3 linked regions of the Elephas maximus indicus genome follow. The protein of the gene in region 1 interacts with the protein of each later gene in a biochemical or structural test. Links are inferred from orthologs where the notes say so. Each region holds a gene or a part of one and is shown on either strand. Other genes may lie near its edges. The genes, in order: TEK, ANGPT1 and ANGPT4.

Evidence for each region.
Region 2: the proteins of TEK (region 1) and ANGPT1 form a complex in vitro, tested with the Homo sapiens proteins (6 studies listed by BioGRID and IntAct, with this or other methods). The link is inferred for Elephas maximus indicus from reciprocal best matches to the Homo sapiens genes TEK and ANGPT1.
Region 3: the proteins of TEK (region 1) and ANGPT4 form a complex in vitro, tested with the Homo sapiens proteins (2 studies listed by BioGRID and IntAct). The link is inferred for Elephas maximus indicus from reciprocal best matches to the Homo sapiens genes TEK and ANGPT4.

The regions. Positions count from the first base shown.
Region 1 is NC_064827.1:36,777,693-36,785,016, forward strand, and holds the start of TEK (angiopoietin-1 receptor), read left to right. Parts: upstream 1-4,276; 5' UTR 4,277-4,747; coding exon 4,748-4,799; intron 4,800-7,324. UniProt on the Homo sapiens protein: Tyrosine-protein kinase that acts as a cell-surface receptor for ANGPT1, ANGPT2 and ANGPT4 and regulates angiogenesis, endothelial cell survival, proliferation, migration, adhesion and cell spreading, reorganization of the actin cytoskeleton, but also maintenance of vascular quiescence.
Region 2 is NC_064833.1:34,697,180-34,705,033, forward strand, and holds the start of ANGPT1 (angiopoietin-1), read left to right. Parts: upstream 1-4,808; 5' UTR 4,809-5,300; coding exon 5,301-5,597; intron 5,598-7,854. UniProt on the Homo sapiens protein: Binds and activates TEK/TIE2 receptor by inducing its dimerization and tyrosine phosphorylation.
Region 3 is NC_064843.1:38,939,025-38,946,882, forward strand, and holds the start of ANGPT4 (angiopoietin-4), read right to left. Parts: upstream 3,088-7,858; 5' UTR 2,946-3,087; coding exon 2,637-2,945; intron 1-2,636. UniProt on the Homo sapiens protein: Binds to TEK/TIE2, modulating ANGPT1 signaling. Can induce tyrosine phosphorylation of TEK/TIE2. Promotes endothelial cell survival, migration and angiogenesis.

The sequences.
Region 1 (7,324 bases):
TTGCCATGAGTTAGAATTGACTTGATGGTAGTTGGCTTGGTTTTTTTAAAATATATATTTATATATGAGCGTATATGTACACAGTCATTATTTTTTTTTAATGCTGAAATTATAGAAAACAATACAGAAGAAAATAAAAATTATCAGTTTTCCAACAACCCAGAAATAATCACTTTTAACATTCTGGTGTACATTTGTCATGTATATATTTTATACTGTTCAAACTGTTTTCCTTCCCCACAGACATCTTTCTATGTCAATATGCTTCAACTACTTCATTTTAACATTTGCTGGTATTCCATGGTATACCATGATTTATACAGACAATCCATTTTGTTGGCCTTTTAGATTGTTTCCAGGTTTTGGCTAATATCAACAACGCTGCCATAAACTCCCTTATGGATAAATTAGAGGGCTCATCTTTGATTTTGGCTTGGGATATATCAGCAGTGGATTTTCTGGGCTGATGGATACACACATAGGCTTTTGCTGCATATTTGTGAAACAGACCTCTGGATGTGTGATGCCAGTTTAGAGTAGCATTGGGTAAGTTATTTTCCATGCCTCTTCACAAACATTGTTTTATTATCCATTGTTAGTTTTGCTAATCTTTCTCACAGATTTTTTAATGTTGGCTATAGATTTTCATTTTCTAAGTGCAAAAAGCATAAAATAGGATATGAAGTACCAGCCAAGTGCCTTGTTTGTTAGCTTGTTTTGTTGGTTTGGTTTTCGTATTTGTTCAGTTGTAAGTGTATCTGGAAAAATCAAATTGAGCTAAATAAGCTTGACTCATGAGGGAGCTCTCTTTCACCACCCTGGAGAGAGGGAGTGGAGCATCCTCAGATCCTGGTATTAGCTCTTACTATTTTGGGGGCACATTAAGAACCAACTGGATTTCTTAAGGTCACCAAACTTTGCCATTACCTGTGGAAATTTCATTTCAAATACTTTCCTAAGGTCTGTGTATATGGTGTTAGTGATGTTTCCTATATTTCTTTTTACCTACTTTTCTGCACATTGTGGTCTAAAGGTGAACTATGAAAAAAAAGTGTCATATGTTAGAAATTGCAAAAATTGGAGGCCAAGAGACAAATATTCTAATACTACCTCTGCTACCTATAGCAGAGCAAGTGACTTAACCTGGGGGAGACTTTGTTTCCTCACTGCAAATAGTTCTGTATAACAGTCTAGTGGTGGCGGTGATTGGGGATGGGAAGGGAACCATAGAAAGCAGGTAGCCAATACACATCTTGTGTCAGATGCTGTGTATATATTTTCTCAGTAATAAGGTATTATTTTTCCCCATTTAAAAATGAGAAAACTGAGGTTGAAAGACATGAAATAAATTGCCCAGACCACACAGTAGATTACAGATAACAACAGATGAAATCTTGGTCTGCTTGACTCCAAAGCCCTTTCTATGACACGTGCATATAGTTCAACAGGTATTTATGTAAGACCTGGGAATTCAATGGTGAACAAGTTATAGTCCTTGCGTTTTGGAGATAGCAGCCCAGTAGGAGAGACATTAAAAAGATAAAGATACAAATATATGATTGCCAATGGTGATTAGTGCCATGAAAGAAAAGGAAAGGGTGTTGTGAGATAATAACAGGGAGACCTAACTTGGATTGGTGGTCAAGGAAGACCTTTCTGAGGCTGAAACCTAGAGAACGCATAGGAGTCAGGCAGGCAAGGATGAGGGAATTGTATTTCAAATTTTCCAGGTGATGGAACAACCAAGGGTAGACAGGTGATTCAGCTAGTCCCCAACAAAGCTCTTCAGGCAAAGGACATGTCCTATTGATGGCTACAGCCAGCTTTCTAGAAGAGGGTTTTGGCCATGTCCCAGTACATGGTATTTCCTTAGTTCGTTATGTATTGGGGACAAGTCCTGTCCAGACATGGAAGTGGCCTCTCCCTTCCCTTGTAAGTCCTGGCATGCCATCCAGTCTGGCAGCTTCCCAACCTGTTGCCAATCAGCTCTGCAGACATTTTGATCCCAGTGTGCAGTGAAACTCATATTCTTCCTTGATTGGTTTTCCATGTTCTAAGATGCATGTATCAGAAAGCTGGAGCAGAAAGTGTCTGGGTACTTTTGTCCACAAGTTGTCTTCACTTTACACCTGGAATTTAGATCTCATGCTGAAGATCCAGACATCCCAAAGAAAAAATTGCTCAACTCTTTGACTAGCTGTGTAATCACAGGTTCAGAGAGCCCAGCAGCGTTTATTAAACCGAGTCACTGTACTATATAACATTGAGAATTAGCAAATACAGTGCTCTTTCTGGGTCCTGGAAGAAGAAATTAAACTAAGTAGTTCTTCTGGTTAGTGGAGAAATGAATTAAATCAAACAACTTTTCTCAATTACAGAGAGAAGAATGAAATGGTGTCACCCATTCTATATAACGGAAGGAAGAAGGACCTGAGTGACATTTCTGGGTAAAGATAGATAGGAGTAAGTCATCTTTCTGGATAATGGGGGAAGGGATGAAACTAAGCAGCTTTTCTAGATACCAGTCCAGAAAAGGAAGCAAGGTAGCACCTTTGGTGCACGAGAACTAACCAACAGGAGGGGGTGTGAGCAAAGACAACTTCCTTGTGTGGCCACCAAGCACAAAGAAAGGAAGCTTGCATAGGTAATGAGAACCAGCCTGGAGAGGCTGGCACCCTGGAGTTTGTTTACTTCCAAGGCCTACCATTGCCCCCCCTGTATGGCTTGGGGCCAGTGGATCTCACAAAACTTCAGCCACCATGGTCTTAAAATAGAGCACGTTTGTGATCCTCCCAGACTTTCATGGATACAGAGATACAAAGCCAGCATCTTCTTTGAACCTTCCAGATGGAAGGACCTAGGAAATATACAGCTCACAAAAAGCAACTTGGGGATATTGAGAGTAGGACAATTTATTTAGTCATTTAGACATGAGATGTTAGAACTGCAAGGGAAATTAGTCACATCCAATCTAAATTCTTAATTTTACAGTTGGAGAAAACTGAGGCTTAGAGATGAGAAATTACTTGTCCAGGGCCTCCCAGGCAGATAATAACAGATAGAACTACAACCCAGAGTCCTGACTCCCAGACCGTTTTTTTTCTATGCCAAAATTAATCTCATAAGAATAGAGATTGGCATCCTGGCTGAAGCTCGTGGAACCTAAATTGGAGACAGAATGGAAAAATGGACGGGAATTAACATACTAACATTTAATAAAAGCTATCTATGAACTAGGCGGGGAGCCAGATATTTTTACATATTTTTTTTAACCTCAATCCTCACAAACGCTCCATGACGGGAGATATTATTTCCATTTTACAGCTTTCAAAACTGAGGCTCAAAGAGATTAAGTAACTTGTCTCAGGTCACGCAGACGACTAAACCAGTATTTAAACTGGATCTGCTTGAAGGCAGAGCCTGGGCTTTCTACCCCAGCAGATTGGAAACATCAACTGGTTCTCAAGATCACTGCTGATGTGGTAAAACCTGGGACAGAAATTAAGTAAGACCACGCAGCATCTACCCTTTCCTGTGAAGAGTAGGAAAAGGCGTAGCAAACAATTCCTTCCTCAGATATTAAGGCAGGATATCTAATAGTATCTCCCCTCTTTTCTAAAGTCATAATTCATGTTGCAGAGAAATTACAGTCAGGATAAGTTTTGGGTCTCTGATCTCATTTTAGGTAGTTACTCCAGTTGGCTATTTTTGTTTTGGCCCATGTATTCTCTCTGCTGTTATAAGTATTTTTATCCCAATCTCGTCTTTTATGTTTGGTTTTTCGCTCAGATGATTTTTAAGATTTTGTATATAATTTACTTCTGAAATACCTTTGGCCAAAAAGCATAAAGCTCTTTTCATTACTGAAATCCTTCTATGCTAAATTAAAAAAGAAAAAAAAATTAGATGACCTTTAAATGAATTTATTAATAAAAATTAAGGCTATAGCCAGTAGCATGGGTACCTTTGGGCTCTTGGCCAACAAATAATCCATCTGTGTGAAAGAAACCAGCTGACAATTTTGGACTCTATATGGCTACATTGAACATTAACTGCGCCGGTGATTATCTAAATTAATTGCCTCTTGGGTTGCGTTCTCTCGTCATGGAAAACTTCTTTTTCCAGTTCAAACCATGTAGGTTGAAATGAGAAAACAAAAGCAAAAACTACCCCCCACACCCAAAAGCCCCTCTGTCCGGATTTCCAAGTGGACCCAGGAGAGCGTTAGAGGTCTGAGAAAGGCTGATGATCATCACTGCATACCATACATAGGTGGAGGGCTTGTTATTCTCAGTTTCCCACCTATGAGAGGATACTCCTATTGTTTCTGAAAGTGCTGACCAGGACCCACACTTCCAGCAAAAATTCCTCTATCCCTACAGCGACAGCAAAAGCAGCAGCAGAAAACAGCAGCAGAAGCAATGGCCACAGATAAGTGTTTTGATGTACTGCAAGATGGATAGGGCTTGCAGTGCCCCCAGCCCTGCTGATACCACATGCCTTTAAGATACAGCCTTTCCCATCCTAATCTACAAAGGAAACAGGAAAAAGGAACTTAAAACTCCCCGTGCTCAGACAGAAATGAGACTGTCACAGCCTGCTTATGTGCTGTTCCTTCTTGCCTTTAACTTGTAAACAAGACCTGGTAGAACATGCGAATGGAAAGTCACAAATCTCTGGGTTTTTGAAAGGCTCCTTGGGACCTCATGCATAGCTGTGGAAACTGGATGGAGAGATCTGGGGAAGCATGGACTCTTTAGCTGGCTTAGTTCTCTATGGAGTCAGCTTGCTCCTTTCTGGTAAGGACTGGCTTTATTTATTTATTTTTTTAAACAGAGTTACTGACTTTTGGGCTCTTACCAACTCTTAGTACTGGTTAATGAGGGGTGGCTGTGGTATAGATACCATTTCTCTCTGATTCTCCATTTCATATATGTAAGGATTGAAATGCCAGGTTCCTAGGGCATGAACTGGTTTTCCCTCTGGCTGATTGTCCCCTGAATTGCCACAGACTGGGAAGACCAATTCAGTCACCTTATTTGAAGAGACTCGCTTACTATGGCATTATTTTCCTGCTCCTTGTCCTGGAGGGTTTTCTTATCTAAAAAAGAAGAAGAAGAAGAAATCTAGATTTACCAGCTTCAAAGAAAATCTTCAGTAATTTTTTTAAAAATAAAGTGTATATTAAAATTAAGCAAGACCACTTAAGGCAATGTACAGATTATCAATGCTTCTCTCTAAAGGTTTTATATCTGTGTGGTATTTTAATCACAGCGAGCAAATTCTAGGCTTTTTGTAATTTTTATAGATGGAGTCCAGTAGATTGGGGTTCAGTGATTTTTATTTTATTTAAAAAAATATTTGGTATATATATATATTAAAAAAAAGAAAAGAAAACAAAACCCATTGCCGTCAAGTCCATTCTGATTTGGTAGATAGTATTCATAAAGTCTGTCTATATTGGCCCAATGAAGTGAATGTCTAGGCAGTAGCACAGGTCTTTGGGCACAGGAGAGTTTTCAAAACTGTTGTGAAATTCAGGAATCATTGGCCTGAATGTTTTTGGATTTATTGTGTACATTGCTCAGATTATCTAGATATTGGCATACCTCTGTAGTTTCACTTGCCCAGTGTGACAAGACTGAAGTGCGAATCACAAATACGTTGCAATCACCATCAATCTGTCCCCTTTGGTTCGAAAACATTCTAACCATTGTAATGAAAATTGATTGGTATTAGAAATGAATTTTGACAATTTACTGAATTTAATGGTGCAGGCTATATTACATGAATAGAATTTGATGCAAAGATACACAGGCATCTGCTATATTATTTTTTGATATATGTTTGAAATATTTTATTAAATATTCACAAAATTAATCTACTAAGAGAACAGAGCTGCATGTAATTTGTTTTACAGCTGTCAGTTTGCTTTCAACGACAAATTATATTGAGGATTTAATACCTTTTTAAAAATCCAAGCATGTAAAATAGGAATCCTGAAAATGAGAAATGATCCCAGATGATTTCAATATTTATGTGGTAATGGTTTATATTAATGTGGAAATAATGTTAATTTCTGTATTAATATATACCTTTAAACTAAATAATTATCATTGTTCCTTTTTTGGGTTGCTTTTGTTCTGGTGCCACATTTGTCAGTGACACGAAGCCTGGAACTGATTCCACACCAAGGATTACAGTTATGCAAAGCCCCAGGGACCACAGTTGCTCTGAGATATGTTTTAGATTAAAGAATGCACACACACACACACGCGCACACACACACACACACTCACTACTGTTTTAATTTACTTTTTTTCAAAAGTAACTATGTTATGGCACTTTGCAATATAGTCACAAAATAAAAAGTTATGTTGCCAAAACAGTTGCCCCAGTGTCTAGACCTCAGTTCCCTGAAAACACAGCACTGACTTCAGCAGGAAGATGCCCAAGGCCGGAGGAGAGGTGATGCTCTTGTTAGAAGGGAAGTGTGACACTAATGAGGTTAACTTTTGCGATGGGTCTGTTGTGTTGAATCCTATACTCCCGGTCTAAGCCACCATGAACATGAATGCCCAAGCGTTGGTGATTACAATAAGAATTCAGTTTGATCATGTCTATAGCCAGATGAGTCTGTTCTTCAAGCCAAATTCCACTGGTAGACTACAATAATGGAGCAAGGAACTAATAGCGTATGGATTTATTTCTCTATAGTGGTTTGTTTCTCATAGCTTTTTTTCTGAACCAACAGAATGGGGGAAAAAAAAACCATTTGTCTCAATAAAGGTGGCTTTGGGTAGAAGAAATGCTGATCCATAAGACAGTTGGAGGAGGTGTGTAATTTTCAAAAAGCCTCCCCCCAAGTCTTCTTGGACTTTGGTACATTCCCTTCCCAACTGAGAATCATTGTCAATTCCAACTTACAAACAAGTTCTAATAAACATTCTCCTTTTCCCTACTCCCCCATCCTCACCAAACCAGGCTGCTCTCTCTAAAGAGTTGTATATGCAGAAAAACAAACCATTCTTTCTGCTTTACATAGTATATCCTATATGATCAACATCGATCCAGTGGGAAGGTTATAATTGTATGCCTACTTACCTCTTGCCTGTCTCATCTGGCATTTAAAATGACAACCTGGATTGAGTAACAGTGGATATTTTGTCTGGGGTGGCAGAGAAAATGTGGTTATAAGGTCAGGAAAGTGGACCCAGCTGGAATCTCCCCATTAGGCCTGGCCTTGGAAGGCTAGTATCAAGTCAGACTAATAAAGGGTAGAGGTATGGAAGCTGGGATGGGAGGCACCCCTTGAAATTTTTCT
Region 2 (7,854 bases), on another chromosome or scaffold:
TGGCATCTTGGTGTGCTGAAGCCACATTGCATTCAGTACACAAGGGAAGAGAAGGCTTTCTCGCTCCTTTTGGCATAATGTGTGATCACGTGAGTATCAGAGGAGTACTACCTTGTGTCTCATCCACTGACGGAGTTTTAGAGGAATAAACTCTATTTTATATTGTTAGGATGAACAAATCTGTCTTGGAGGATGTATAGCCAGAATGCTCCTTAGAAGCAAGGATGGTGAGACTTTGTCTTGCTTACTTTGGACATGTCATCAGGAAAGACCAATGGTTGAAAAGGACATCATGTTTGGTAATGTAGAGGGTCAACAAAAACGAGGGAAACCCTTTATGAGGTGAATTGACACAGTGGCTGCAACGATGGGCTCAAACACCCAAAGATTATGAAGACGGCACAGGACCGGGTAGTTTCACTCTGTTATACATACTGTCGCCATGGGTCGGAGCTGACTAGAAGGCAACTAACAACAAACAACAACAATTTTATTTTAGAGTCAGGGCGATGATCAAGATATGTAACAACTGATATGGCACAGGACCTACCATTCAGAATGAATTCAAGCTATAACCTAATCAATCAGATTAGATGTCGGTAAACAAATGGGACAGCTGTACTGGTGAATCCTGGTTTAAGATTAGCTCTGTTTTAGAGGATCAGAACATGAATCCATGGAGGCATGGATGGGAGGAGGAGGGAACAAATTTGAGTTATAGATACTATGCTATTTGTGTCCCTTAAATTCTAAGAAATCCCTTCTCTGTGTTTCCTAACACTGAGGTAATACAGCTCAATGGGTTACAAATGTGGACCCCAGAGAAAGACCAGTTGAAGATGAAATTCCTGTTCTGCTACATAAGAGATGATAGATCTTGCACAATTGTGTAACATATATATGTCTCAATTCTCATCTGTAGAATGCTAATAATAGCACATACTTATGGAGTTTCCATGAACATTAAATGAGGAAATTAATTTAGTAAGGGTTCAAAAATGTTATTTAGTATTATTGTACCATGTTCATGTGTCTAACTTATTACTTAGAATAAGTTTGGCTTCCTCTGGTTCTCTCATGCTCATAGATTTTGGGCAAACTTACCCAACAAATGAAACAGCTGTTGCCAATCACATATAGTAGCCAGACATCAAATCAGGAAACTGTACCAATTAAGTAATTAACTAGCTCCTTTATTTGATCATTTATTCTTTCATTCCTTAACCAAAATGCATTGTGAGTGCTGTAGACTCAAAGATGAAAGAAAGGAGATCACTTTATGAGCTCATAGCTAGAGGGGGAGACAGACCAAGAAAGAATGAGAAAGCAACATGAGAAGTTCCGTTATGGAGATATGAAGGGAAAGTTATTGAAATACAATAGAGGGTGCCACTTGCTGCCTGGAGAAATTAGAAAAGCTTCTCAAAAGAAGTAACAAAGGCTGGTTCTTAGGATAGATTTAGGGCCATCGAGTTCCCCTGTAAAGGGCATTCCTTGTCACACTGGAAATTTCTGAACGAGCCTAAATTTACTAGTAGCCTAACTTTTAGTACATATGAGTTCAGAACCTTAAACAAATACACCTCCCTATTCCAGAGCTCTAATAATGAAAACAAAATACAAAACTTTCAAAATCAAGCTACTTCAGAACTCATTTGAATAGAACGATGTAGTTCTTTAGGAATTTTTTTTTTACTTTTGTTTTCTGGAAGCGTGGCGGAGGAGTTATAAAAAAAAATGGGCATGTATGTACTACCCAAACCCATTGCCTATGAGTTGATTCTGACTCACGGTGACCATATAGGACAGAGCAGGGTTTTTTTAGAACTGTCCCATAGGGTTTCCAAGGCTGTAAGTCTTTATGAGGCAGAGTGGCTGATGGGTTCAAGCCACCAACCTTTCAGTTGGCAGCCCAGAACTGTCGAGTCAATTCTGACTCATAGCGACTCTACAGGATGGAGTAGAACCGCCCCACAGGGTTTCCAAGGAGCAGCTGGTAGATTTTGGTCTTAACCTCTGCACCACAGGTCTACTCCGTAAATTCTGTAGTCCCCTGAATTGTGCATGATTTCTGAATAACCAGCAACAACGACCAACACTGTAGCGCTTGCTTAGGTTCATTTCCCTGGGCTTTTTTTTTTTTTTTATATTGTCCTTAGAGTGCCACTGAGATTTTCAGTGCACCCAGTGTCTCCTCAGCTGGAGTTCCAGAGAAGCACGAGTGGATTCTTCCCATCCCTGTTCTTACAATTGCTTGAAACTGATCTTTAGACACCTTTTCTGAATTGACTTTAGTACTTCCAGTGTCTTGGTTTGTTTTTGTTTTTCTGAAAAAGAAATGAATCAATCTGTCTCTTTCTTCTGTCTCTCTCTACTTTTTTACTTGCATTCCAGGCTTGCTTTCTTAGTTGTCTACTTTTCCCTCAGGAAAATGTGCATTCCTCATTCTCATTTGTTCAGATTGGAAAAGTTCACAGGAACAAGCACACACAGATAAACACACACATACACACTTGCACACACACACACGGAACAGATTTTTAGCAGTCATGGCTGTTTAAAAACATAGGAGAACTTTAGTAGAGACCTCACTACTCATCCTTTTGCCTTGTACCAATTTTCTGTTATGTTTAGTTTTCTACACAGCACTTATAGGTGTTTGTTTTGGACTCTTGTTTCCATGGATAATTTTGAAGGCAAGTAACATTGGAAAACATTCTTAGATAACCTATGCTTTGCCAGTCCACCTCGTCACATGGACCCTTACAAAACCTGATTTCATGGGTTACCTCTCCCCCTTCCTCCCACCCCCCTTCCTTCCCTAGCTCTCTCTTCCTCTTTTCTTCTCTCCTTTTTTTTTTTTTTTTTTGGTACAGGGAATGGATTAGATCACTTTGGAGGGATAAATTAGTTTTAATCAGTCTTTTTTCTTACCTCGCTTTAGAACTATAAATCAATGCAGCTGGAGCCCTTTTGTAGTTGCTTTCATCCTTCACCAAAACCAAAAACCAAACCGGTTGTCATCGAGTCAATTCTGACTCATAGTGACCCTATAGGACAGAGTAGAACTACTCCATAGAGCTTCCAAGGAGCACCTGGTGGGTTTGAACTGCCGGCCTTTTGGTTAGCAGCCATAGCTCCTAACCACTACACCACCAGGGTTTCCCTCATTCTTCACAGAGGTTTTCAAAGGTGAGCTGACGTGGCATAGAAGCATAGGCTCTGTGTCAGTTTGCCTGAGTTCACATGATGACACCATCACTTTCTACCTATGTGACCGTGACCAATGAGCCTTTCAGCAGCTCAGTCTCCCTGTCAGCCAAGTGGGGTTAAACATTAATGTCTATGTCTTTGTGTTGTTGGAACAATTAAGTGAGATAGTGTGTAAGAAGTACTTAGCTCTTAATAAGCATCATTATTATTCTTCCACATGGGTGATCTACGAGCCAGCTGAGAGGCATGCAACAACACAGGAGAAGGCTGCAAAGGTGGCTTGAAAAGGTTATTGCTGCGTTTGCCATAACTTCTTCCATGTCTGTCAAATCAGCAATTTGTCATTGGTGTGGGAAGGACTGATGTATCTCAGCACTTCTTTTCTCCCCAAGTAAATCACATTTCTTCTGGAATTTGTTTTACCCTCTCCTCTTATTTCTCCCTGAACACCCATCTCTAACCTCTGCTGCCCTTCACCCCCTGCCCTGCCCCCTTCCAGAACCTGGGAGGCTACCTCTGTGGCTTCTGTTTTAACATCATGACTGCATGGCCAAGCTCCATTGCCTTAAATCCCTCCCAGTCCCTGAGGGAAGTTCCCGCTCATAACTCGTGTTTTCTGCACACACCTAGTGAAAATCTCGATGCCTATATGCCATATCGTCTGTTCTATATGTTTTACTGGTTCCTGTATTCATATATTTACACCTTGTGTTTGGGAAATTCCCTTCTGGTAATTTTTATTTCTCCCCTAATAGAAACATGTGGATTTCTCCTGTACAACCCTTTGCTGGCTCATTGGCACAACTGGTGTATCTTTGCTCTCAGATGGCTGATCCACGCAGCCACAATGAGGATTTCTGTGGAGCTTCCGCACTTTTTTTTTTTAGCCATAGCAACACCAGAGACCTTTGTAAAATATATGATTAGGATGAACCGCAGGAATTAGTAACACTCAGGCCAGTGTCTTAAATTGTAACCACATAGTTTTTCTAAGGAAGTTGCCCAATTTACACACACAGAACACCCAGGGTTGCATTCTGATCAGGGAAATGGTTTCATTTAAAAATCCATGTTCCAGGAATACTTACTTACATTATTCTATGTAATATACATAAGCTCTAATCCTTTCAGGGACAACTTGTGATTTTTGTCTTGTTTTTTTCTAATTTGACCCTCCCTGATTGTTTTAGCCACTTTCTAAAAGCCGAAATGAATACAATGAAAGAACAGCATTTCTAAAAGTGGTTTTTAATGTCTTTTCTCCAGAGTCAAGAATAAATGTTTTATAAAAAAGAATTAAAAAAAAAATTACAACTTTCTTATTCACTGTCAAAAATAATTTCATCGGACATTATACCAAGTTTCTTCTTTGGGTTCCCCAATTAAATAGAAACTTAAAAAAAAAAAAATACTGCTAGTTTGCTAGATTTTAGTAGGTCAGTACACACACCAAAAGCGTATTAAGGTGGACTGCTCTATTTATTGATTTTCCGTGAATCTGCTTAAGGCTGGAGGCAATTGTCTGCGGAAGGGGCGGGCGGGCCATACATGATTGAGGTCATGCGCATCTAGCCAATTTGTAAGACGATCCCGCCGCCCTGAGCCATCAGCAATCCTTAGCATAGGGGCACATTCAAGCATTCCTGTCAAGTCATCTTGTGAAAGGCTGCCTGCTTCCAGCTTGGCTTGGATGTGCAACCTTAATAAAACTCACTGAGGTCTGGGAGAAAATAGCAGATCTGCAGCAGATAGGGTAGAGGCAAGGGTCTAGAATATGTACATGCAGCTGACTCAGGCAGGCTCCACGCTGAACTGTTACAGAGAGGAAACAATAAATCTCAGCTACTATGCAATAAATATCTCAAGTTTTAACTAAGGAAACTACCATTGCAGTGAAATAAAAAAATAACATTTTAGAGCAAAGCTAACAAATGGCTAGTTTTTTATGATTCGTCTTCAAAAGTTTTCTTGCAGGGGGAAAAAGTCAAACAAACAAGCAGTTTTACCTGAAATAAAGAACGAGTTTAAAGGGCAGAAGAAAGGAGCGAGATTTGCGAGAGGCACGGAAGGAGAGTGCTGGCAGTACAATGACAGTTTTCCTTTCCTTTGCTTTCCTCGCTGCCATTCTGATTCACATAGGGTGCAGCAACCAGCGCCGAAATCCAGAGAACGGTGGGAGAAGATACAACCGGATTCAACATGGGCAATGCGCCTACACTTTCATTCTTCCAGAACACGACGGGAACTGTCGTGAGAGTACGACAGACCAGTACAACCCAAACGCTCTGCAGCGAGATGCTCCACACGTGGGACCCGATTTCTCTTCCCAGAAACTTCAACACCTGGAGCATGTAATGGAAAATTATACTCAGTGGCTGCAAAAAGTAAGTGATTGCTTTCCGTTTCTAATTGCACGGAGCCTTTTCCCTTCTTGCACTGCAGCTAACCAACAGTTCCTTAGGGGGGAATTTGTGTGTTTACCTTTTGCTCCAGGGGGGCAGTGTTTGCAAACGCAAGACGGCTTAGTACTTGGTTTCACTTCGCGGGCGAGCCAAGGTTTTTAGGCTTTTGCTAGCTTACGAAGGTATGCTGGAGCCCCATTAGTGCATCTGGCAATGGCATGTTTTATGACATTTCTGTTTTTCTCTTATTCCCGGTTGAGCTTGAGTAGTCTGATTGTCAAAACCCCACTTTTAAAGAGAAAGCAAGTACGTTTTGAGCAAGTTGTTGGGAAAACAATAATAATGACAGTACTGCTTTGAGATCAAATGGAATCTACACCAGCAAGTTTTCATAACAAAATACGTTTTTTAACCTCTAGTAAAATTAACATGAAGTGAGAGTAAATATAAAATACATTAAAACCTGCGAAAGCCAGAACCTGCGTAAGATGGGAACCTGTCAGACAAGGAAAACTCAATTATTTTCCACTGAAACTGGAGATGGAAAAGTGGTAAGAGTGCACCCTGTCAAAGGTAGAAAACTTGGGAGACCCAGAAAAACAAGGCAGTTCTGAGTTCTGGCTCTCGCAGTTTTCCCTGTAGAATATTTAGTGGGGGAATTGTATAAATGGAATAAGTGTGTAAAGGAACGGTTTATTTTAGTTAAGTGATACAATAGTAGAGGACTGGTTTCTGTTGTATTTTTCTTCTGTACTTGAGAAAATCAATTAGGAAGATACATTTTAATGTGAATTCATCAGGAAGGAGCTGGTCGTCGACAATGAAGAAAGAAATTGAGCCGGTGGTGGCTAGTCTCTTGGGACATGCACCTGCCGATTTGGGTTGAACACAGCATGTAGGCTCTGCTGTACCCCTGGGGTACCGCACTTCTCAGGACACTGTAGGTACAGACTCAGGGCCATTTGGGAGTCTAGTGAGTATGCATTTGATCCCAATTTATAGAAATCAAATTGAACAGCTTGTTCTGTTATTTATGTATAAACCTTTGAAAAGTTTTTTGTTGAAGGTATTACTATTAAAATATGAGTGCAGTTTCTGCAGATAATTCTCACTTTGCTCTCTGATTAATTGTGTAAGAGGTAAGCAGTGAACAATAAGTATATTCAACAGACTTTGTCACTGGCAGCGTCCCCATTCATGGAAAGCTTCCCACCACAGGGTCTGTGCCAATAGATTCCCTTGGTTCGTGTAGTAGAAATGCACCCAGACTTCTGTAAGATGGTCTGTTCACAGTGCAAACTCCTTCAGAAGATAAAAGATAGTGAAAGGACAAATGCGCTTTTTTGTTCCTGTGTGGTCACAATCACTTAGATCACCACCTGCTGATTCACACTGTGTAACAGTTATTCTAGTTTCGTCCACTAGGGACTGAACTGAGATCACTGTTATTTTATTTGACATGTTAACTGAAACTTAGTAGTTCTAGAGCTTCCAAACCTGGAATTGTAGTTAATCTTATCACTACAGACTACAGGGGAATCGATAAATATGCAGAAGAGGAAGCAAAGAGAATTCTCCAGTCTTTTAATAATTATAGCTTAAATTTCATCTACTACCTACAGTGGCTATGAGTCGGAATCGACTCGACGGCACTGGGTGGGACCTACCGTGGCAGTCTATAATAATATATGTTTTTTTCTCTGGCAAAACTTATTTCCATAGTAAACAAATGAATTTTGTTGAAAGTTTATTACTATTTGTCAATATATATATTTTTTATACCATTCATATATTCTTTAAAGAGAATTTGATCATTATAAATTAATCTGGCTTTTCTGAGGTTGGCGGGGAGGAATATCTTAGTCCCAAAGTGTCTTGAATGAGATACTCTGCCAAAAATGTAATGTTTTGCTTGCTTAAAACATACAATCAAAATGGTGATTTAAAAAACAATGCATATTTTACATTGCTATGCAATTACTCAGGCATGACAAAGTAAATAAATACATGATCCTACTGGGCTTAGATTATGCAAATATTTCACAAGTTATTAATTTTGATTCTTGTTTTTGGTCAGTGATTATGGTATGCTTTTCAGATAAGAGCCAAGAATCACTAAAATATTCTTTAGTTACATGGACATTCACTCGCTCGTGTGAATCAAGCTGACTATGTTCTGAAAATGTCCCTGTTGGTATGAGTCAGACAGTTTGGCTTGACTATTGTCTGTTTGAATTTG
Region 3 (7,858 bases), on another chromosome or scaffold:
CCACAGAGAGAGAAAGCCTTCCCCTAGAGCTGGCACCCTGAATTTGTACTTCTAGCCTCCTAAACCATGAAGAAACAAATTTCTGTTTGTTAAAGCCAACCAATCGTGGTATTTCTGTGATAGCAGCACTAGATAGCAGCACTAGATAACTAAGACATCAAGTAAGATGAAGACTAAGTCATGGCCATTGGATTTGGGAAGTGGGAGGTGATGTTGGGGAAAGGAGTAAATGAAAAGTGAGGAAGTGGAGGCAGAAAATGAGGGGTGTGGGCTGGAAAAAAGGGTTGTGTTTCTCCCTCCTCCTCTTCTTCCTCCTCTTTTTTTGCCTCTTCTTTCTTTTTTTAAGATTGGAAAGACTTGAGTGCAATGGAACGTTGAGGGGAAGGGCCAGTAGAGAGGGAGAAGTTGTTGGAGACACAGGAGTGGAGGGTTGGTATGAGGAGGCTGAGGGGCTGGGACCCAAAGCCTAGGAGGGAGAGTGGACCCGACTCATGGAGAAAAACCTTCCCTCAGAGCCTGAAGGAAGGCCTGGGGACTGGTGGGTGCATGGGCAAATCTGCAGGTGTAGGGCAGGCAGTTGAGGGACTTCTCTCCTCTTAGCCTCAATTTCTCATTGAAGAAGGATGACCATAGTCTGGTGAGAGAATGGGGTGGGTGGGGAGGTGAAGATGGAAGCTTGAAGGTGGGGGATAACTCTTGAAATGGCCACATGGGACTCAGAAACAGCTGCCTGAAGAGACACACACAGATTTCAGGGCAGCATGGAGTCCCTGCTAGGTTGGACTCCAGTATATGTGGTCAGGACTCCCTTGAGGGGGCACAGGATGGGATGGCGACAGGGCAGAAATGTTGCAGGGCGGGTGGGTGGAGGGGCAAGTGGTCAAGGGATTATGGGAAGATGGTGAGCAAAGGACTGAGGGGGTGGTTGGGAAGAATAAAGACAGGAGGTTAGGGGTGTGTGTGTGCGCCTGCGAGTGTGTGTGTGCATGCGTGTGTGTATGACGAAGGTGGGTTAGATACACAGAGTATAACCTCTCCACCTTGGGAACGGATAAACCCAGACCATGCACAAAACAATTCTTTGGAAAACAGGAGGAAACTACCAGAACTTCAACTGATGTGATTTCATATATCATCTTTTTAAAGTTCCATTTTTGCTAGAGTTGTGCCCTGTACATATTGTATTAACACTGGGTGTGTGGGTATAAATACTAAAAAAGTATGCATGCATCAGGGAGGCAAACATTTCTTACTGATTAGGAACATGGTTTAAAGAATTTGGAAACGATGGGAGTAAGAAGATACTGCTTGCCTAAGAAACACCCTGGGGACTCCTCCTGGACACCCTCGCCTGCAGCCTGTCAGTCGCTGCCTGCTGTTTTACAACTTCTAAAACACTGTGAATCAGCTGCTGCTCTCCACCTCGCTGCTACCACCCAGACAGTTCCCTGCATCTGCGGCCCTGGTCCCACTGTCTGGCCCTGGTCACCTCTGACTTAGGGGGTCAGCCCACCATGGGCGCTGCAGGACGCCTTCTCTGCCCCCATGATCACCCCGGGGCAGGTCTGCCTCATCCACCTCTGCACCCTAGTGTCTTGTCCCAGGCCTGGCACACAGTAGGTGCTCTGAGTGTTTGCTGAAAGGACAAACGAATGAAAGAATGAGGGCAGGAGATCCTATAGTGGTCCTGGTCTTAGGCCCAGACCGTGGGATGTCCTCAACTCCTTGCTCTCTCCCACCCCATCCAATGAATCAGCAGACCCTATGAGCGCCTCCTCCAGAAGAAACCAGAATCTGACCCACCACACCTCCACCCTCAGCGCCTCCCTGCTCCAGGCCTCCTGGTGTTTGCAGGGGTCTCCTCTTTGCGCTCCCTGCCCTTATAGCCTCTTCTCCTGTTCAGACCAAACCAGGAGTGTGGCTCCCTGTGCAAAACCCTGCAAGGGCTCCCGTGACACGCAGGGCAAAACCCACAGTCTTTGCAGTGCCACAAGACCCCCCCACCCCACTCAGACCTCATCCCCAGCCCCTTTCTCCATCTCTTGCTTTGCTCCCTCTGCCCCAGCCACACTGGCAGCCCACCTGGTACCAGGCACCTACTGCACTCCCACCTTGCAGCTTCTGCCTTTGCTTGTCTCTTTACCAGGAATGCTCTCCCCCAAGAAGCTTGCTTCTCCACTTCACTTGTTGTCTCGGTTCAAACACCACCTCCTCTGAGAAGTCCTCTCAAATTATCTGACCTCAAATCGCCACCCCTCGGTCACTCCCTGTCTTCCTCCTTTCCTTCATTTTGTTTCACCCTCTGACATAGTAAATATTTATTGTTCATCTCTTTATCGACGTCTCCCCCCCAGAATGTACATCCAGTTGTATCCCCAGCAGCTAGGATGGGCCTGGCACATGTTTCTGACAGACGGATAAATGAATGGCCGTTAGACACTGCCTTGTCTTGCTGTGTGTTCTCTGAACCATTCCTGGACCTCTCTGGGGCTCCATATCCCACTCTGTACAATTCAGGGATGAGGGTCCCATCGATTTGGCCATCTGCATCCAGAGGAGACCTTCGAGGTGGACACTCCTCCTGCCGATCATGACAGACCTGAAGCTGTCCTCCCCCCTGCAGGCCCAGCCCTTACCTTCTGCAGCCACTGGGTGTTATTCTCCAGTAACTTCTCCAGCTGCCGCACCCGTTGACTCCGCCACTGCCCCAGGTGCCGTTCGGCAGCCGGTAAATCCCTCTGGAGGCTGTTGGAGCCCCTTAAGGGCTCGTGCTCCGGAGTGCATGGCTTGGGCTCGGGCAGCACGAAGGTGTAGCTGCACTGGCCGTGCTGGACCTGGTGTGTCTGGCGACACCCACCTGCTTCCTGGCCCGTCTGCTGGGCCAAAGTCGTGGTGGCCACCATGAGGAGGAGGCTGCCCGGTAGCATGGCTGGCCAGGAGGGCATCCAGAGAGGTGATGATGGGGAGGGGATGCGGTCAGGGCCCTCAGGGGCCGTGCCTGCTCACCACCCAGCCCGGTGCCCAGGGTGCAACCGCCGTGGCTGAGGCTGCCAGTGGACAAGCCTGCCTGCAGAGCTGCTGCAGCTGCAAACCCCTGTTTGGCTGAGCCCCGTTCCAGCGGCTATTTATACATGCTCCAAATACCACAGCTGCTCAGCTTCCTCTCACCGCCTCCTGCCCGCCCCCCTCCCATCCCTCATTCCTATTCTTTCCCCCTCTCCCTTCCTTCCTCCGAACTCTTGCCTGCACGCTGCCCTGTCCACGCGCTGGCCTCGCTCTGCCCGCCTTGACTCTGGTCCTTTATTGTCTTGTGGGGGCCTGGCCTCCCTGCAAGAGGGGAGGTATTGTAGAGGGAAAAACATCACAAAGTTTAGTAAAGCAAAAAGAAAGTTTTATTCAGCATATATTCAGGAAGACAAAAGTTGAGAAGCAGACAAGCATGCTGCCAGAGCTAATGTCTGCCCAAGTCCAAGGAAATATTACAGAGTAAGCAAGAACAGGAAAATGGACAAGCAGGTTTCACAGCCATGTCTGCCCGAGCCCAAGGAACATTACAGAATAAACAAGAATGGGAAAACGGACAAGCATGCTGCCAGATATGTCTCCAAATGCAGAGAATATTACAGAATAAATAAGAATGGGAAAAAGGACAAGCATGGTGCCACAGCCATGTCTATCCGAGTCCAGAGAATATTACAGAATAAACAAGAATGAGAAAACGGACAAGCATGCTGCCACAGACATGTCTCCAAATGCAGAGAATATTACAGAATAAATAAGAATGGGAAAAAGGACAAGCATGATGCCATAGCCATGTCTATCCGAGTCCAGAGAATATTACAGAATAAACAAGAATGAGAAAACGGACAAGCATGCTGCCACAGACATGTCTCCAAATGCAGAGAATATTACAGAATAAATAAGAATGGGAAAAAGGACAAGCATGGTGCCACGGCCATGTCTATCCGAGTCCAGAGAATATTACAGAATAAACAAGAATGAGAAAAGGGCCAAGCATGCTGCCACAGACATGTCTCCAAATGCAGAGAATATTACAGAATAAATAAGAACGGGAAAAAGGCCAAGCATGCTGCCACAGACATGCCTGTTCAAGTCAAGAGAATATTACAGAATAAACAAGAATGGGAAAAAGGACAAGCTTGCTGCTACAGCCATGTCTATCTGAGTCCAAGGAAGGTTACAGAGTCATCAGTATACATTAACATTACAAATGGGCAAAACCGTTGAGAGCGTCACCTTTTCACAGATTGGTTAGAAACTGTCATCCTACATTTTGAATTTTCTTTCTTAACAGTCATTGGTACAGGCTTCAGTAACAAGTCAGGAGGGTCTTCATTGGTCCAATAAGTTTCTATTCACTAGATGTTAATAGTTAGAAAAAGATAAGAGTGGAAAGTCTTTGTGTTCTGGCTTATGTGAAAGGTTCCCTAGAAGATATTTTCCAAGATTATTCTATCTATTGTCTTTATCTCAGGGCCCACTTGATGTGTCCTCGTGAGTCCTGGTGAGCTCTTGTGAGCCCAGCTCCAGCTGGGTCACATTCTCTACGCTCAAGGACAGGGAATAATGATTCCAGTATTATTTCCTAAATCTTTCCCTCCTTTTGATTGGAGATTGGAAATAACACATCCATGATTAGTCGAGCTCCTAGATGGCAACCGCGGCAGGTTCTTTAAACTCACAGTGCTGGTTTTCCACTGGATACCATCCGGTTCTTCACCAGGATCTTAGGAGTGATGTTCTCATCAGTTGCATTGTCAAAGTGTGTAAACTCAATGTACATCAACATTTTAGCCCAAGGCCTTCTTTAGCCTTTTAGGTGTGTAAGACAATAGAAGATAAGTTTTATTATGCCTAATACTATCAGGATGTAGACTAAGAAAATTACTTGTAGTAGTGCAAATAAATCTGGTGTTCGTAAGGGTGTTACAGTATATAACCAAGTAGCTTGCTATCCAATTCTATTTGTATATCCTGTTCTTCTCCTGTGTTATTTATCTAAATGCAACAAGTGGTATTTGCTACAGCACATTACGCTTTCTTGGACGAATAAATAAAAATCTAAGGCTATTTTGTTATCTCATGTCACCTTGGATTAATGAGGTCAGAGATCACTGTTGTGTTTCCAACCCGCTAGCAACTTTGTTATTTGTCGCATAGTGACTGATAAATTTCTGAAAGATTTCTCCAATTCAAATATACCTTAAGTAGGAATTAAATTTACCAACCATACCCTGAGTGTTGGATCAATGGGCTTTCTTCTGATTCTCATTTTACAAAGGATAACAAATTAACATTACCTTTCTAGCATTTACTATGAATATCTAAAGATAATCCTAAAGTTCTCAAAGTGCATTGCCCACGCATTCGCCAGGAATCTAAACAAGAGATTGCCCACGTAAATTCACTATTAGTTAGAAAGGAATCATCTAAATTTATATAGTTGGATTCACCACACAAGAACATATATCTATAAAGGGCACTCGAAGTTTGTCTAGAGAAAACAGAAGGTACAGAAAAATTTGCTTGTGACAGATAAGTTTCTATTAAAGAATACATGATTAGCAAGATAATACAGGATGGACTTCTCCTGTTGAAGGTCTCCAGTTAATGTGCCTAAAACATACTAAGTGTTCTTCCTGAGGGCAAGCTGCCTTTCCTTGGTTTGTCTATTAAGAGTCATGAGTCACTTTCTCAAAAGCAAAGTGCAATCTGAGCCATGAGGTCGATCTCTTCTGAAAACTTGGTTTCAAGTTACATAATTTTCTCTATAGCAAGAGGATGAGAGTTTGATTACAAACATTAGACAGATACAACATTGTCTTGAGGACTGATTAAAACGATTACTGATTTACCTTAAACATAACTCTATTTACTGATCTTTGGAGTGTTTCCCAAAACAGACTGAATTCTTAAAAAAAAAAAAAAAAAGCACAATGCCCAGAGCAAAAGGGTCTTGGCTAGCTTATCTGGACAATTGTTTGACTTAAAGTGGCTTCAGAAATCAGTTTTTTTCTTAAAGCTCAAGGTTCAAAAGGACACCCAAAGGCGATAAATAAAACTATGTATATTCCCCAACTTCCACGAAAGCCAGAAATCTGGATTGCAGGAGAATTACGTACAACTCTCTCATGGTTCCTTCCTTTAGATCATGATCTTGCTATAGAATCTTGGATCAAAAATGTTCAATAAATGGTAATTGGGCTCTATCTGGTTTTTAAGATCCCATATAGCAAATCAGGAGGTAGAATAGAAACACTAACACTAGGCCAATTATCTGAAATAATCAATGAAACCATGACCCTAAGGTCTTGGAACCAAGGAAACAAATCTCACGGGGTGTTTGTTCACACATAAGCAGCATCAATCACTGTTTTTCATGTGCCTCTGTATTAACCACGTTCTGCAAAGCCTATGATTGTGTTAATATAAATACAGCAACATTTATCTACTAAGGCACAAACTCTTCCTTGAGAGATCCAATAGGAAATCTAATGCTATTCTAATTTGTAAAATCATAGCTCAAATTCCAGACACTTCTCTGGCTATGATATTTACCACTTTGCTAACTTTGACAACAAGAACTTTTAATTCAAGAGTTAAAATCACTAAACCCACTAGTTAGATAATTTAGGAGAAAAGAGGAAAATGGTTTCTTATATCCAGAAAGTAGGACCTTACAGCATTTCTGATTTCCAGAAAGAAAGGCCTTAAAATACCAGCAATATTCTCACATAAACCCGTAGGATCATTCCGTTTTCTCAGTCTTATGTAGTTAATTTCTGTTCCATGTGATTTTGGATCGGCTGCAGTCTGCAAAACCATCAGTTTCTGCTTGGAGTTCTGGAAATCTCGATTGAGTTTAGTCACAGTCTTTTTTGCAAGTTCAGTATAGTCCATCTTTTTTGTTGAGATATTCTGGTCAAATGTTTTCAGAAAATCAGCAAAGTAAACATTTATCTGCAGATGGCAAAACTTAATATGGCCATGATTAATTTATAAACATAACTCTTAAGAGTGAAAGACCTAATAGAAATTAATTACAAGCATAATGTAAAGGCCAAATAAAATCGGTTAAGAGAAACTTTAGATAAAAATATTTCTAAATATAACCATTAACCATATTTTTAAAGAACTTCATAATAATCTTGAGACATAATACCATATAGTCAGGATATACTAAGAATATACCAAAATTATCAAGTCTCTAAATACCTAGATAGTAATAAAAAATAACTTTATAGGTAAATGATTTGAATTCTCCAGTCAAACTATTGGCTTTGATGATGCTAGATTCCAAAAATAAAGTTTGAATTAAGTTAGCAATTAAGAAATAATAAAATTATGACATAATATTATGTGTTTGTTGTCTAATATTAGGCAAAAACACAAGAGGAAATACTAACATATAAATTTTAACCCAAAGGAAAAGACTCAGCACTGCTCTTGATTTTAACAACACGTTCTGTGTAATTTACAACATGTTAAATAAACCTTTTTAGCACTTTTCCCTTATTAAAATTTTGTGGGTTTCCATGAAGTTTCAAACTTGTCAGGAGTTTATCATAAGTTACTGTGAAACAATACTTAAGTCATTTAACCAAAGATCTCAAAATAAAAACCTTAGCTTTTTTTTTTTTTTTTCCTAAAGCCATGCAGCTTGGTTTCTGACTCAGGAATCTTATTCTGATGAGAGACTGGACCTTTGTTTTAGAGGCAGATCACACTGATAAATTAATTATTTAACTCAGAAAGCAAAGAAAATTTAATTTTAACAGCGAGAAACCTAATTCTTTGTTTTATATGCTATAAAAGCGCCTAAAAATCTCATAAATTA